2 linked regions of the Coturnix japonica genome follow. The protein of the gene in region 1 binds, or shares a complex with, the protein of each later gene. Links are inferred from orthologs where the notes say so. Each region holds a gene or a part of one and is shown on either strand. Other genes may lie near its edges.

Evidence for each region.
Region 2: TTC25 (region 1) and EFCAB1 share a complex: the UniProt entries of both Homo sapiens proteins name them as parts of the outer dynein arm-docking complex. The link is inferred for Coturnix japonica from reciprocal best matches to the Homo sapiens genes ODAD4 and CLXN.

Annotation. Positions count from the first base shown.
Region 1 is NC_029542.1:4,350,581-4,354,986, forward strand, and holds the start of TTC25 (tetratricopeptide repeat protein 25), read left to right. Parts: upstream 1-1,357; 5' UTR 1,358-1,452; coding exon 1,453-1,560; intron 1,561-1,655; coding exon 1,656-1,787; intron 1,788-2,019; coding exon 2,020-2,173; intron 2,174-2,181; exon of another isoform or gene 2,182-3,347; intron 3,348-3,457; coding exon 3,458-3,519; intron 3,520-3,926; exon of another isoform or gene 3,927-4,277; coding exon 4,278-4,406. UniProt on the Homo sapiens protein: Component of the outer dynein arm-docking complex (ODA-DC) that mediates outer dynein arms (ODA) binding onto the doublet microtubule. Plays an essential role for the assembly of ODA-DC and for the docking of ODA in ciliary axoneme.
Region 2 is NC_029517.1:20,678,002-20,682,340, reverse strand, and holds the start of EFCAB1 (EF-hand calcium-binding domain-containing protein 1), read left to right. Parts: upstream 1-1,493; 5' UTR 1,494-1,982; intron 1,983-2,877; 5' UTR 2,878-4,339. Other genes in the region: protein FAM133B, read left to right, coding at 720-815, 1,410-1,493. UniProt on the Homo sapiens protein: Component of the outer dynein arm-docking complex (ODA-DC) that mediates outer dynein arms (ODA) binding onto the doublet microtubule. Seems to regulate the assembly of both ODAs and their axonemal docking complex onto ciliary microtubules.

The sequences.
Region 1 (4,406 bases):
CTTTCATCAGGTGGCAGAGGGGCTGCAGAGGAGAGAACCCACAGCAGCCAACTCCACGGGTCAAGAAGCCTCAGTGCTGCACGTTGTGAAACTCCTGGCAGCGGGTGGGAGTGATGCAAGCTGCTGTCACTGGCTGAGGTGGTGAACGCAATCCCTACAGACCTTGAGCCTTCAGAAATTAAAGAGCAGCCAAGGAAAATAGCAGATTACGAACCGATTTCAGCCAGGTTAACGGAGAGCTGAGGAGTGGCCCCAGATGTGCTGGTTCACCCCAGTGCCAGAAATGGGATACGCAGAGTTCTGCCTTTAAAAACCGATTTAACCTGAAACACCGGGAGATTCTGCGTGGGTTTATTACCCCATCGCGGGGGAGATGGGCAGCAACCCCGGGCAGGACTCGGCTCTATCTGCTCTATGGGCTCTGTCAGCTCTATGGGCCCTATCATGGGCTCTATCTTCTCTATGGGCTCCATCGTGGCGGCCGGGCCCCGCTCCCCTCATGGTCGGGCGGACATCCCGCCCAGGCCGGGCACCCTCAGCCCCGCTCGGTCCGTGCCCCCCCGCCCCATCCCCGCCCCCACCTGCTCTGTCCGTCCCGTTTCACTCCGTTCCGTTCCGTACTCTCCCCGCTCTGTTCCGTTCTGTTCCGTCTCGTTCCGCCGCCGCCGCCTTTTGTTCGCTGGGACGCGGCGCTGCCTCCCCGGCCCATCGGCCTACGGGCTCCGCCGCCGCCCATTGGCTGCCGCCGCCGTCACGTGTGCGTTGCCTGAGCGCCGCTCGAACGCCCATTGGTCGCCGCCGGTGGGGCGCGCCCGCGCGGCCTTGTGGGAGTCGTAGTTCCGCCCCTCGCCCCGCCCCCACCCCCCGGTACCGGCACCGAGCGGGGACACGGGGCGACACACAGACACACAGACACACAGACACAGACACACACATAGAGCCCAGAGCAGCACGGCCGGCACATGGCGGGACGGTGTCACTGCACGGCACCGGAACCGGCACCTGAGAGCAGCGGGTGGATCGAACCGGGGCTGAGGGACGGGACGGACTGAGCAGAACCGAACCGGGACCGACGGAACCGCCGGGACAGACGGAACCGGAGCCACTGAATCAGTGAGAGGAACGGACGGCGCCAAACGTTCATCGCGTTCATCCCATGGGCCTCATCCAGGGCCGGGATGAAGCCACGGAGCAAGGCCCGTGCACACACAGCACCGTGCGCACTGATAGTCCCGGTACACACTGATATTACCGGTACACACTGATATTACCGGTACACGCTAATATTACCGGTACACACGCCGCCCCCCGGCCCATCCCGCTCCTTTTCCCTTCCAGGACCCTCCACCCCCAGGACCTCGGTGACGTCACTTTGTGGGCGGGGCTTGGCTCGGTCCCGGAAGTGGCGCCGTTGCCCGGCAGCCGTTGCCAAACGACGGCGTCGGTGCCAACATGGCGGAGAACGTGCCGCCCGTCGGAACCTTCCCGGGCTTCATGACCGAGGCCGGGCTGCTCTATAGGCGGGGCGAGTACGGCAAGGCCCTGAGCTGCTTCAACAACGTGAGGGCACGGGGGGGGGGGCGAGGCGAGGATGGGGGGGTTGGGCCTCATCCGTCAGCCCGGTCTGTGCCCGTTGTGCGATCCCGGCCCTGCAGGCGCTGAAGCTTCGAGCCGGGGACAAGCACGGCCTGGTGGGACGGTCACGGTGTCACCTGAAGCTCGGGGACATACAGAGCGCGATGAGGGACGTGGAGGCGGCGCTGCAGGGCGACAAGGCGTTCTCGGAGGTAAATAGAGCAAATATAGAGCAAATATAGAGCAAGTAGAGCAAAATAGAACAAATAGGGCAAATAATAGAGCAAATAAAACAAATAGAGGAAATAATAGAGCAAATAGAGCAGAGCTGCAGGGCTGTGGGGCTGGGGGCAGCACAGCGCTGCTGTCTGTGGGTATGAGCAGAGCACTGTTGGAGGCTCTGAAGCACTTTGTTGTATTTTCCCCCTTGAAATGTCATTCCAGGGCCTGTACCAAAAGGCCGAGGCGCTGTACACCATGGGGGACTTTGAGTTCGCTCTGGTGTTCTATCATCGAGGCTCCGAACTGCGACCGGAGCTGCAGAAGTTCAGGCTGGGCATCCAGAAATCCCACGAGGCCATTATCAACTGCATTGGAAGTAAGGAGCTCCCGTCACGGTGCCTGCAGGCTGAGCCTGTTCATGTGCTCTGTCACCAGCTGCTATTAATAATAATAATAATAACAATAATCATAATCATAATAACAGCTGATGGCTGTGAACTCAACGTGCTTCCTAAGTACCAAGTAACAGCAGGGTTCCTTTGCTTCTGGATTCATGAGCTCTGCAGCCATTCTTATTTGAAACCAAGAAGCACCACAAAGCCCACGTCCCATCCTCTCTTTCTTCTTCTTTTCTTTTTGCCTGGATGCCTGTTCACCTGCAGTGTCTGATAACTGATAATTACAGGAGTGAATTATGACCCCAGCACTTACACTTCTAAAGTCACCATAGAAACGTCATAAATAATGCAGAACACAGCAGCACTCCTCCTTACAGCCCTGATGGTGACAAAATCCATTTTGAGATCCTTATCCCAGCGTTAAAAAGCTTAGAGTGAAATCTGCCCACCTGAGAGCGGCCTCCCTGAGATCCTGATTTTCCTCCAATTTCCATTGCACAAGAGCAGTGAAACTGTTGACTATTGCAATGGAGCGTTGCTTTCATAATTTCTGGCGTAAATCAGAGAACTGAGTCCTGCAAGAGACAGGACAGGCCAAGGACCTGCTGGGGTTCAAAGCAAATGGAAAACTTTTCCCTCATTTTTTCTCTTAGCAGTGCTCTCACATGCAGGCAATGCAGGCACACACACACACTCAGCTGGGGCTGGCTCTGTGGGTGAGTGGCTTATCACGTGAAAGAACCTGTGCACAGCTGGCAAAGCTGCTGCAAAACCTGCTGGGACAGTCACAAACTGCTCAGGTGGATCCTGTCCCATCATGGAGCCAGAACACGCCCGGCCTGCACGCCCCACACAGGCCTCGATCACACAGATAACGCAGCTGCCTTGCCTTGAAATCGCTGTTGGAATTGCAGCCCACCTCCAGCAGTGCAGATTGGCTTCACGTCCCAGCTGTGTGAAAGCCTGCAGCTCCTCCATATGTGACAGGCATTTTAAGGCAGATGATAGAGCAATTTTCCAGATCTGTTGCTTTCCTCTGTTCCTGCTGCTTTCTCAGCTCAGTGCAAACACCAAGACGCCCTCGCAGCTCTCTGTGGAAACACCTGTCATGCTTGACGTGCTGAGCTGAATGCTTTAAATGCCTTCAAGCATCTGGACCATATACAAACAAACAGCATAAAAACCACGAGGTGTTCTAAATGTTTAGTAGCTCCTCTACTGCATTTCTAGAGCAGTAACAAGTGTTTTCTCTGTATTTGCAGCTCCATCCTCAGTTAAACTGAAGAACACAGAGGGTCTCTGCTTTGTAAGCCGGCAGGCGGAGGTACAGTGTGAAGAGCTCTCGATTTGGAAGCTAATTAAAGTTGTTATTACACTGTTATGTTCTGGAACAGGCACAGAGGATCAGCGGTTTCTGCAGCAGGGTGGGGGGGGGGATATGGCTGCTTCAGGGAAGCGCATCCTGGGCATGTGAAACAAATGAATCCAGTCTGAGGATTTTAGTGCACCTGCCTTTGGTGCAGCTGGGGCTTAAGCCACACAAAGCAGACAGGAGAAGGCAGAAGGGCAGGGAAGAGCAACAGATGGGAAACAAAACCCCATCTGAAAGTCCTCTCACAGCCTGACCAGTGTTCCTATTGGGTACTGCTCACCACCCATCAAAGGCTAATGAGTAACAGCGCCGAGGTGAGAGCAGGATACACTTACCCACAGTGTTTACTTTGGTCTCACCTGCTGTTTGACGTTCACTTGTCTGATAATGGCCACTTTCTCAATTGCTTCATTTCGGGGTGTCCACTGAAGCAACACTTTGTTCCTCTGAGCTGCCACCCCACGTTTCCCTTTGAAGGCAGTGCAGTGAATGCTCCTTTCTTTCCCTCAGCTGGAATTATGGGTAGTTTGCAGTGAAAATCATTTGCACACAGGAGCCTAAAAGCTCTTTGTGAGACACTGATTCTTGCTTCTACTTAAAGGACCTTGACCTACACAGAGGTCAGCAGTTGTGGAAGCCAGGCCTTGCTGATCATTCCAGTGTTCCCCAGCAATCCCACCACATTTACTTTACTATTTTTCTTGCTGTAGAGCAAAAAAGCAGAAGAGAAACTCCAGATCAAACTGAGCAAGGATCAAAAGTCCACAAAGAAAAAGGAACCTGCAAGGAGTCAGAAAACAGAGCGGCAGCTTCTGGGAGAGCTCTATCCTGACAAGGCC
Region 2 (4,339 bases), on another chromosome or scaffold:
TGTGGTACCAGTAATAGACTAAGTAGGAGGGTCGATGTAAGTAATCTCAGCACTCAAAAAGACGATTTATAAGAATTTTTACTGTTCTTTTGACTGAAATAGAATGGAAGAAAGTAGTTTCACTCTTAGCAATACCTTGCTCGGTCCAGAGCAAAGCTTAGTTGAAAAAGTGTAGGGGAGAAAAAAAAGTGGCTCATCAGAACAATCTCTTGCAGCATCTGAATTACAAAAACTAAAACTGTAAAAGAAAAGACTGCTCTTTAAGTATATTGAAACTATTTATATAAAATGAAAGAACGTGTCCCATGCCAGAGGTACAGGTCTGAAGGGAGCATTTTACTTTATCAGCACCATAGCAGCTGTGTTTGTGCGTACTCTGAGACATCTTCATTTACTCTGCAGTCTTTTGCAGTGATGAAGCATTTAAAAATGCTTGCTCCTCTGTGAGCTTTCATTTAAAAGAAGAGACTGTGTTGTACTAATAGATCATTCTTTAGAAGGTGCAGTATCTTGGTAATGGAGCAACACACAGAAAATCATTATATTCTCACTGAAAGCATTTTAACTGTGTGATGATTTGCTGATGAGTAATTAGTTTAATGCGTAAATTATTTAAATATTTCATAACTTAGAAATAATATTTCCATGTAATTTTAAAGCAGAAGTTTCCTAATACCTGGAAGGCTTACTGTTACTTGCAAATATATTGCTTTATGTAGGATGGCAAAAATCATCACAGAAAGAGGAAGAAAGCCGATCGTGGTGATGGGCCTTTATCATCAGAGTCCTTATCAGAAGCGGATCAGACAGAGGAGGTCAGTGTGAAGGCTAAACTTCAGCTGTTATAATGCTTTCAGCTTACTGATTCCCATGAGTAAGCAGCTAAAACTAGCCCAAATTGAATATATTATTGAAATGTTCTGTTCCATACAATTGATTTTAGTGCAACTCCTACCACATACAGGTCATTCTGAATTAATGTTCTTGAAACTTTACAACTTTCCATGGATGCTTTGGGGTTTAATAAAATGAGGCTAAGTGGTGCCTCACAAGAGTTCTCTCTGATCACTGAATACAGACAGGCAGGAGGTTCCAGTTTGCTGTTTTTTTTCCATTAAAATTTCAACCATGTTATTCACTCGGTAGTTTTACTGTTACATCTCTCTTGGCTGCTTGTTCTGCAATGTTTTAATAGCAGAGTGCCTAGAAATCAGACATTTATTGGATTACAGTTATTATAGAATATAACACTGTTATAGTCGGTTTCTTCAGCAACTGCTCAGTCTGCCCTGTCAATGTTCTGCTGTTTCTCATTTTTATACAACAAAAGTTCAAACTTCATATAAAACAGCATTTCCAAAGCTGCTGTCTCATTACATGACATTTATTTATTTATTCATTTATTTTAGGTTCAGGTGAAAAAGAAGAAAAGCAATGAGGAGAAAGAGAAAGCAACAGCAAGTATCCCTTATACTGTAGTGTTAAGACAGTAATATCTTGTACTTGGTTAATTATTTTATAATTTCACAGTAACACAAATGCTTTATAGTTAAAGTCAGATGAGTTGAAATTTGATATTTCTCTCTTTATCTGTTGAAGACACCTTTTTAGCTGCATAATTAAGAGACAGGTTTGTCACTACTTTAACTACATAGATATATATGTATATGAATTGAGATGTATTTAACATCCATTGCATCAAGTCAAAATATGTTTTACACTGTACCAGCCTAACAGAACTACAAATTTCTGTATAAGCTGAGGTAGCAACATGCCATATAGGTATTGAGGCTGTTCCTTTGTAGGAGTATCATGTATAAGTATTCCTTTGTACACCTTCTATACCAGAGCATAAAGAGGGCCTTAGGACACAATCTCTGCAGCATCACAATACTAATAGAATTCTTCCCTCAAACAAAAGAAGTGCTGCTGGCAACCTGTTGCATTTCTCTGCTTTGTGGATACTTCCTCTGATGATAAAGGTGGGACAAAGGTTCAGCAGTGATACTGTAGGACCTCAGATATGTCCCATGTACCTGAGTTAGAGATGTAGTCATTCTGAGCTACTCTGTATGCACTATAAGCAGCACTGTTCATAATTAGGTACCTCAGTTGCTCAAATGAGTTATGGTACCTAAGCACAGGAATTTCAGTACATGTTTTCTGTGGAATTTGAGTTCGTTTGCTTGTCATAAAATTACTAATGACTTATTTTTTATCTTAAAAGAGACAAGTAATGTGTCTATTGTAGAACTAAGATATACCTAAGTCGCTATGTTTATGTTGTTACACCTACTGAAGAATTCCACTTGAAAAAGGATAAGTTTTGATCTTTCAGTTTTTGATTGAACCTGGTGGTGTTAATTAAGTGTATATGTGAATATTTAAAAATGAAACTCTTATCTTTTGTTTTAATTAAGGTGCAAGTGCTGGAGATTTTAGCCTAGTATAGTGCACTGTGAAAATGAGCACCTAATTGAAGTCTGTAAAGATGCGAGTTACTCCCATATATGTCAGATCTCAACGCAGTTTATTATTTTCTTAGAAATCTGTAAAGCACTGAGAAAGCATTAAAAAGATGAAGAAATATGATAGTGATGATGCTGAGGGCTGGGAAGGAGCCAGACCACAATGGAGACGAATTGAAAACTCTTTGTAATAGTGCACATTGTGAACTTTCCTTTTGTGATTTTCCAATAGGCTTTTATAAAACTCTGCTCTGAAGTGCCATAGATTTTTTACAGAAACATCTTCCAAAATGTCTCAGGAGAGCTTTCATTGCCCTGCTCCTGCTGTTATTGAATGGAATTCAGTAGATGGAATTTTGCTCATACTCTAACTTCCTTTTTGCTTTTTTCTTTATTATTTCTTTTTCAGGATAAAGCCAAAAAGAGAAAGAAGCACAAGAAGCACAGTAAAAAGAAGAAAAAGAAAGCTGCTGGCTCAAACTCGGATTTGGAATAGTATTTAAAAAAACAAAAAAAGCAAGACTATCAACAAAAGTGCAATGACTGAAGGAAATTGAAACTGTGAAATGATAACAAACTTTACCAAACTGCATGAGTTTTCCTGTGTTCTAGAAATATTCCTAATCTTTCAGTAGCCAGCCAGATGCAGCTGTGCTGGGAAAGACCGTTGTTATTGCCTGCTGCTTAATACATGAGGTACAACTTTGATTAAAGTCCAGTAAGCAGTGTTAGATGTTTGAAACAACGTTAAGATGGTAGCTTAGTCCAGCTAAGATGTAAAATATTGGGAAGTAAGAGTTAAACTTTTTAGATACTGAAAGTAGTGTTTTAAAGCGTTAGTAATAGCCTTTACTTGTAAATCAGGACAAATAAAATCCCAAATTCATCTTGTAGGTTTATATTATACTTAAAGAGTTACCAGCTGGTGGCTGCGAATGGCATTTATGGAACGGGAAATGAATGACAACGTATAAAATGCTGCCTTTGTAGTAATTGCCCCATTACTGTCTTCATGCTTATGAGAAAGGGAATGCTACCATTTGGCTAACTGAATAGGGTGCCTTTGCCTTGATCCTTGCAAATCTCTGCTATTTTTAATCCACGCAGCATCTCTGATTCTAGAGAGGCCAGAACTATTGTCAGCAGACCTTTTCTGAATAAGCAGTTCTGGGCTTCTGAGCATGTGCTTCTGCATTAAGCAAGAGCAATGACATTTTGCAGTGTAACTGACATTCAAAGCCAGAAGACTTTACCTCTGCTTCTTTGAAATAGCGATAGATCTGTGCTAGGAAATGAGCATATTTCATTTCATTTCATTTTGGTTTAGTCGAACACTTCTTGCAAACTCCGGTAGTTTTTTCTTTTCCCTTCACATTAACTTTTGGATCGCTGTGCATGATTTGTACCTTTATTAAATTAACAAAATGCAGGTAATCATTCATTGTAACCAGTTCTCTGGATTATGTTCCACATGCAGAGTTTTGTGTACGTATTTAGTTACTCTTACAGTTAAGTTCATTGCTGTGTTGAAGTGCACACTTGCTGAAGATATTTAGCATGTAAAAAGCAGGGTTTTGATACCTTAACAGCTTCATATTGAAGCTGATTTTACTCTAAGCAAGTTCAGTGGCAGACCTGTTACATGACGCATCTTGTTAGATTAAGGAGAAATAAACCACCATACTGCCAGAATCTCATTAAATATGCTGTTTAAACAGTTTGTATTTATATTTTTGTACTGGAGGGCTACAGAATGTTGACCTAAATCATAAAGCTGTTTTATTTTAAATTAGTTGCTTTAGGAATTGAAAATAAGCTTTTATAAATTAAATGTGCACGCAAGAAAACACAAGCAATCGTTAGACTTCAGT